Bombyx mori: one gene and its partner. The protein of the gene in region 1 interacts with the protein of each later gene in a pairwise test. Links are inferred from orthologs where the notes say so. Each region holds a gene or a part of one and is shown on either strand. Other genes may lie near its edges. The genes, in order: phosphatidylinositol-3-phosphatase SAC1 and vesicle-associated membrane protein-associated protein B.

Region 1 (3,830 bases):
ACCCCATGGCGAAGAACAGAAAAAAAACGAAATCGCTTCTTTTTAGTATCTTTCATATTATAGCCCCCATGATAATTTTGAAAAGAATGCAATAATAAAAAATTTAACGTTTCTGAAGAAGTTTTACTTCAATATATATTTTTTACTCGCAAAAGTTTCATTTTTACCCCCCAAAATTTCATTTTACCCAATTTGGGGTAATTTACCCCGGTTCCCCGACCGCTGAACTAGAGTATGATGTAAGCATGAGTGTTCGATGGTCAGGTGTGGGCGGATCACGCGGACGCCATCTCCACGCAGTACTCCGGGACGGGCGCCCTGAAGACGGACTACACGCGCACCGGCAAGCGCACGCACGTCGGTCTGTTGCGCGACGGCATCAACTCCCTCACGCGATACTACAAGAACAACTTCAGCGACGGCTTCAGACAGGTGCCGCCAATAGCTCCTCCAGAGCGTCTCCTGAGACGCCATTGAGAGTCCCAAATTGTTCCCGACGCTGATGTAAACGGCGAGGGAACGTATTGTCGACAGTATATCAAACACCATCTTATTTGGTTTCCATTCCGCGGTTCTCAAAATTGCAAAATTTTTTTTATTGCTCAGATGGGTAGACGAGCTCATAGTTGTGGTGTTAAGTGGTTACTTTAGCCTGTAGACATCTGCGACGTAAATGCACCACCCAACTTGAGATATGAGTTCTAAGGTCTCAAGTATAGTTACAACGGCTGCGCCACCCTTCAAACCGAAACGCATTGCTGCTTCACGGCTAAAATAGGCAGAAATATATTACAATTTATGGAATACTGTTACAATTTGTACAGTAGATTGTGGGGAATCGGGATGCTTTCCAATTCCAACACAAATTTTCAGCGGTTTTACTTAGGGTAATAACAATAAAATTTATATTAAAATGGTTCCGGAGGCTTAAATTTTTATATACGATACATTATTAGATATAGTTCATTGAAAAATAATAAGAAAGAAATAGTACGTACTACCCTATAAATATAATATACTTATCCTATAAAGTTTGATTGTTTAATTCCCAGGACTCAATAGATCTGTTCCTGGGTAAGTACGTGGTCGCTGAGGGCGAGGGTCTGGCCGCCCCGAGCCCTCTGAGGAGAGGACACGACTGGAAATATATCACGGTAAATATCTCGTTTCGTTATTTCTAACTACCGCCACTTTTAATTCTGTGAAATATCAAACCAATTCCTAAACGCATTCGACATCTTTGATTTTAAAATGTAGCTATCTCGCTCTTTACTTAACCTCTCTCTTGTCTTTTCCTAATAGGGCTTATCAATTAATTAAGTGTTTTAATCTATAAATGTATGAAAAAAACAATTTCATTATAAAAGTACCGTCATTTTATTCCAAATACTAAGAAAATGATTTTTCTTGGTAACAATAATGGTAGTTCGAGGATGATGAACAATGATTATATACCTTTTTTTTTATTGCTTAGATGTGTGGACGAGCTCACAGCCCGACTGGTGTTAAGTGGTTACTGGAGCCCATAAACATCTGCAACGTAAATGCGCCACCCACCTTGAAATATAAGTTCTAAGGTTTCAAGTATAGTTACAACGGCTGCCCCACCCTTCAAGCCGAAACGCATTACTGCTTCACGGCAGAAATAGGCAGGGCGGTGGTACCTACCCGTGCGGACTCACAAGAGGTCCTACCACCACTTCGTTGGTTCCTTAACTGAGGATCTCGATAATCCGACAAATCGAATGGCTGCCTCTCTTTATCACGGGTCTGAAGAAGACTAGCGTTGGGAGATAGAGGATTTCTGGTTCTCCTAAATCTAGTTTCTTTCTGTTGCCTTTGTAGGCAGATAGGCATACCACTCATCTGATCTCCAGCGTAGTCACCGTTGCTCATGGATATCAGCTATGCCATCAGCTATGTTATGCCAGATATTAGAACTCATATCTCAAGGTGTGTCTCTCGGCATTTACGTTGTAGATGTCTATGGGCCGGCCTTAATTATTTTTTTATTTCAGGACATAATATAAATCATACAAGACTTGGGTTCTGCCTTTTTAAAAATTTATTTCAGAAATTATATAGAACAGAAAAGACTGTAAGAGCTTAGATCCCCTTGCCTATCTCAATAAGGAAAAATGGTACCAAAAAAAATGTCTATGGGCTCCGGTAACCACTTAACACAAGGTGGGCCGTGAGCTCGTCCGCCCATCTAAACAATAAAAAAAGTAGTATCAGTAATAGTGGAGCCTACAGTAAAATTACAATACTGCCCTTGGCTATTACATTACTGCATGTTTCCGCCCTGGAAGATTATGCGTTCGGGCTTACAAGCAGAGAAGCTGTGCTAATAATACTTTTTTTTGTATTGCTTAGATGTGTGGACGAGCTCACAGCCCACCTGATGTTAAGTGGTTACTGGAGCCCATAGACATCTACAACGTAAATGCGCCACACAACTTGAGATATAGTTCTAAGGTCTCAGTATAGTTACAACGGCTGCCCCACCCTTCAAACCGAAACGCATTACTGCTTCACGGCAGAAATAGGCAGGGCGGTGGTACCTACCCGCGCGGACTCACAAGAGGTCCTACCACCAGTAAATGATTATGTCATTAAATGATTATAATGTTGTTGCGACAGCTCCCTTCCGTGCTGCTGGTTGCCATGTCAATGTTCTGCGCCCAAGCGGTGCTGCCGGCGCGCTACTCCAGCGAAGTGCTGCTCTACCTCATGTTCTGGGGGGCGGCTGCTGGAGCGACGCTCTCCTACATCGTCAGGTATCTCTATTGACATTCGATCGAATTCGAACCTAGTGCAGACTTCAGCTCTTTCAAAGGCCTACAAAATAAATTATAAGGTTAATTTCCATTTGTATTTGTACCTATACCTTTAAGAGAGAAATATTTTTTTATTGCCTTTGTAGGCAGACGAGCGTACGGCCCACCTGACGGTAAGTGGTTACCGTCGCCCATGGACTTCAGCAATGCCAGGAGCAGAGCCAAGCCGCTGCCTACTGCAAAAATTATTATTATTATTATTATCGTCTGTTTTCGGAAGAGGTCTCCTAACACCCATTACAATAATATGTTTCGTGTCTCGCAGGCACGGCGCGGAGTTCGTGGACTGGCCGAGTCTGGACGCCGGGGGCCTGGCGTCGGCGCGCGCCCTCGCCGCCCAGCAGTCTTTATGATCGATGACCTGCCGCTCGTAGTCGTCGTGTAGCCATCTCGCTCGCACCCGCCGCGCGCTCCCCGGACCGAGGGGGACAGGTGATCTATCGCAGCTCCTCGCGCGTCCCCGTACGGCTCGCTAGTTCTTCGTTCACTTAGTGCGAGTTTTTTAACGTTGTCGATAGCGTAAAAGTTAACTCAACTTTGTATGCAGTTGGAACAGCGCCCCTAGCGGCAAACTTAAGCAATCGTTCCAATTCCTCGTGTACCAATTTTGCTAATGAAATACGTACTCAACAAATGTTCACGATTGACTTCCACGGTGAAGGGATAACATCGTGTAATAAAAATGAAACCCGTAAAATTATAATTTGCGTAATTACAGGTGATAGGACCTCTTGTGAGTCCGCGCAGATAGGTACCCCCGCTCCGCCTATTTCTGCCGTGAAACAGTGATGCGTTTCGGTTTGAAGGGCGGGGCAGCCGTTGTAACTATACTGAGACCTTAGAACTTATATCTCAACGCGGGTGGCGCATTTACCTTGTAGATGTCTATAGGCTCCAGTATCCAGTTAACACCAGATGGGCTGTGAGCTCGTACATCCATCAAAGCATTAAAAAAAATTCCATGCAAATCAGAGTTATTTTTTTATTTTT
Region 2 (4,586 bases), on another chromosome or scaffold:
TACGGAGTTTCTTGATTCAGTCGCCGCGCTCAAGGCCCGCGATAGAAGCTATGCAATAGCTTAAAAAAGAAGTTGTAAATGTATCTGGCTCCAGTAACCAATTAACATCAGGTAGGCTGTGAGTTGTGTTGGGCAGAACACCAGCCAGATGGTCAGATCTAGCAAGAGAAGCACTCGGTGGTAGTCTGTACCATACAGTCCATGCCACCCATGATCGGGTGCATTGGAAGTACATCGCATGTGGTCGCGATCCTCAGTAGTGAGGGAACGATATAAAAGAAAACTGTGAGCTCGTTCGCCCATCTATGCAATAAAACAAACAACAAAAAGGTTGTAAATGTATCTGGGCTCCAGTAACCACTTAACATCAGGTGGGCCGTGAGCTCGTCCACCCATCTATACAATAAAACAAACAAAAAAAAGTTGTAAATGTATCTGGGCTCCAGTAACCACTTAACATCAGGTGGGCCGTGAGCTCGTCCACCCATCTATGCAAAGAAAAAAGTATAAAGTAGTTCAAGAAGTCGGCTTATGCAAAGAATCCAATCACTGGTACAAAATTTAAAAAAATCATATGTCTAAATAAATAAAAAAGAAATCAATAATTTAATGATGCACACACATGCGCATGCAGTGTGACGTCACGCCACGCGCTTATTCACAAACACTACACAAGCGCAACGTATGAATGTGTTGAACGCGAGCTACATGGTAGGCGGAGTGAGGGGTGTAAGGTTTTTTTCGTTACGGAATTTCATGATTCGATCGCCGTGCTCAAGGCCCGCGATAAAATCTATGCAATAGCTTAAAAATTCAACGATCTTTAAGCACAGATAACTAAATTTAAGCTAAATAAGTAATTTTAAAATAAAAATTGAATTTATATATCAAAATCATATTAACATAGCAATATGAAATATATTATGTAAAATTAGATTAAAACTAAGTCAAATACAGTCCGTCAAGTTTTTGTAAGGTTTGTTAATCTAGTCAGTTTCATGAACGTATTCTTTATGTCTTTCGACACTCTAATACTGCTTGGTATTCCTAGCATGTGACCAAGCAACAGTATTGTTCTATCTAAATAACTTTTCTTTATTTGAGACATGTATTTTTTTTAAATGTTGTAGGTAGTGCCTGTTTTTCTTCTCCTGGTCGTGTAGAATTTTACTACCTACAACTAGGAAGAAATATTGTAGTACCATTATTACGATGGTAACTAGACATTCAAATTAGTATATTCAAATTAGTATATTCATTACTAACTATTATTCTCCAATTAGTTACTTAGCAGTTTTTAACCTGGTTCAATAACAAAGAGAACATAATCACTTACACTTACTAACTGGTAGTGAAAGATTATTAAACTCTAAAGATCAATTTACTTTAAATAGTTCATATTTTCTTTTATATCGTCATTCTCTGCGGCATTTAATTTTCATATGCCTACAAGACTTCTACCAACATAAAAAGAACTAGGAACGGTTCGACCTAATCTAGAAATAATTAAGTTCTATAGTTTCAATGGATTTAGTAGGAAATTGAAAAGATTGCGCACGCAGTGAAATCGTAGACGTCACAAAACAGATCTATATTGAATGTAACTATTCTGAAAACCTTTTAAAAATATAGAAATTACTTCTTAGTTTTCATAATTTATAAAAAAAAATATTGCCTAAAAATATTTACTAGAAACTTATTGCGCATATTTAGTTCATTTTACCTTTGCCTACATTAATTGTGATTTTTTGATTTCTATTCATAAAATACAAATAGCTCTCAGAATATACGCCTTCGAAAGGAAAGAGACAACGCATGCGCAGTGCTCTGCGCATGTCTATTCGTCATTCCACAATTCTCGTTCGCTTTGGCCGACATCGCGGAAAGATATTTTTTCTCAATCTGTTAAATTTTGCCAACGAGATACTGTGCTTATAGTACAATAAAATGCCTAACCAAGTGCTAACTATCGAACCACAAAATGAATTAAAATTTAAAGGTGAGAATCACAATGTTTGATTAACTTTACGCTATTAATCGCCGCATTGAAACTTGTGAAGCAGACATAGGTCGTTAGCTAGATGCTGACAAATGGAGTTTCTATTTCCAGATATCGGCTTTTTGTTAAGTTCCGGTTTTTTCATTATCTTTTGTATATTATCCAAGTAGAGTATGTATTTATTCCGATTACTAATATTATCAACTTTAAATGAGTCCTAGTCATATTAATATATCTGTGGTTCCTGGAGATCATTTTCACAAACATAAATGGCTTAGCTATAATATGCGATACATACGCTTTGTATTTAATTATATTAGTACAGGCTGTTTCATTGAAAAGTAACTATCTTAGAAAGTGTTAGGTATTTAAACAAAATAAACTAGTGATGTTGGTATTTCTTTATTAATCTGATGCTCTTGAATATACATAATTTAAATAGGCACTGAAATTTTTGAAATTATTACATGAAACAAAATGAATGTCTAGTCAGTAGTAGTATCAGATAAGACTATCTATTCTTAGTTAATTTTAATATGATTGTAAATGTGATGAAAAAACATACATAGCAACCAAAAAGACTACTGTTAGGAAAGAGGCAACACTAAAAACTGGTAACTTATTTATATTCTAAATGCAGTTATAATTTGTCACTATATTTCAACTTTGACCTTTGACTAATATTTAAGTTGTATGTATTTTATTGAAGTAAAACAAGTTTTCATTTATAAACTATAAAACTTTACGTTTGTGTGAATAGAAAGTGAGAATGAACACATTAGAACCAGATCTTTTTTATACTAGCTATTTAGTCTACAGGACATTACGTTGCTGTTACAATCACAGGTATAACATATTACTATGACCACAAGCTTGTGGTTGTTTCATATCTTCATTGCACAGCTATGCATATTTTTAGTACAATTTCTATTTAAGGCAGCCTCCTTGGCCCAGTAGACTACTGAGAAGCGTGTAAGCCTAGTGAATCGGGGATAGAAATTCACAGTAAATGTAGTTTCATTTTAAACATATACAAAATAACTTAAGAATTTACATGAATTATTTAGCAATAGACGTTTAATTTTTTTTGCTGTATAGTCTGAAAACTCTTAGCTTATTTTGTGCAACTTCATATATATATTATATCATTGTAATCTTGACTAATTAATTTTATCAGTAATATTATTGATTCATAGTAAAATAATTGTATGTATATAGGTCTCTTAATTAGACTAATAAGTTAACAGCTAATGGGTAAAATGACAAAACATAACGTTAATGTGTTTGTAGTAGTCATTACCTTAAACTTGTAGTTTCTTTGTTTATTTTTCCATTAATTAAGATACTTTATCTGTTTTGCAAGCATCAGTTCTAATAGGCAGGAATATTGTGTATTTGTAGTCAGAAGAATAAACATTGATAACAATTTCCCTAGACTTAATACACAATGGCCGATAATAAGCTAAATTTGTATGCAGGAACTTGATTTTGCCCTAGACATTGCTGACCAATTTGGACGTTAACCACTCACCACCATGTGGGCCAGATGTTCTGCCTACAAAGGCAATAGAAATAAAAAATATTGAGTTTTTTTTGGAAATTATGTATATTTCTCAGTGATGAATATCTATATATTTAGATAAATTAGTATCTAAATCAGTCTCTGAGTGCCATAGTACAGGAAGTCCTAGATTGAGACTGGATTACTGTTTGTAACTTGTACCTAAATTAAAATATTTTATTTTATAAACTAAAAACATTTAATAATATTTTAAATAAAAACTGGGAACAAATTATGCATGGTCATGCGGCTCCGACTTAGGATTTCCTGTGCTATGGGTACCAGAGACTGACAAACATGGTTACCTGTTTTTAAATATATACAAATACAGATAATAAACACTTAGACAAAGAGCAAACAAGATTGTTCAACACAACCTTCGACACAATTGTCAGGGGTGCTAACTAGTATGTTGAATGTTGAAGTATGCTGTAATGCCCATATTGTTGAGTAGTGCATCCCATCTAGAACCTCACATCTCTCTTGTTGCCTGAGTTCACATCTCTCTTGTTGCCTGAGTTCACATCAGGGTCTATGTACAACAAACTAACTGGATACTTTTGGGACTGTGATATTGGCAATAAATAAATAAAAATATTTCGAATATCAAAGACTATTATTAGTAACAGATTTAAATTACTATTATTCTAAAATCTGGCAATCAAGCTTTAGTAAAATAATTCATTCATAGTAATAGGGAGTTTATTTTTATCCATTGATACAGTATCACAATAAATATTAGTAACTATAATTTTATTAATATTATTTATTAGAATCATATACTGTACTAGAATACCATATTACTGTATATTTCAATATACTATGGGCAAATATTTGCGTGGTAATCACTGTTTAATGTGTATCTATATGCTAAGCCTCTATATTATATTATATTATATATATTCAAATATATATATGTGTATTCACTGGTATAGGGAAAACTAGTTTTCGTTTTCTATTTATATATTCTTTCCTTTTGTGAATGAACATAATCATATAATTGATTATTTTAGTTAATTTCTCAGG

What was found.
Region 2: the proteins of phosphatidylinositol-3-phosphatase SAC1 (region 1) and vesicle-associated membrane protein-associated protein B interact in a two-hybrid assay, tested with the Drosophila melanogaster proteins (2 studies listed by BioGRID). The link is inferred for Bombyx mori from reciprocal best matches to the Drosophila melanogaster genes Sac1 and Vap33.

Annotation. Positions count from the first base shown.
Region 1 is NC_085126.1:9,639,948-9,643,777, forward strand, and holds part of phosphatidylinositol-3-phosphatase SAC1, read left to right. Parts: intron 1-264; coding exon 265-432; intron 433-1,052; coding exon 1,053-1,154; intron 1,155-2,643; coding exon 2,644-2,780; intron 2,781-3,105; coding exon 3,106-3,193; 3' UTR 3,194-3,830. UniProt on the Drosophila melanogaster protein: Phosphoinositide phosphatase which catalyzes the hydrolysis of phosphatidylinositol 3-phosphate (PtdIns(3)P) and phosphatidylinositol 4-phosphate (PtdIns(4)P). Has low activity towards phosphatidylinositol-3,5-bisphosphate (PtdIns(3,5)P2).
Region 2 is NC_085107.1:10,902,671-10,907,256, forward strand, and holds the start of vesicle-associated membrane protein-associated protein B, read left to right. Parts: upstream 1-1,565; 5' UTR 1,566-1,947; coding exon 1,948-1,999; intron 2,000-4,573; coding exon 4,574-4,586.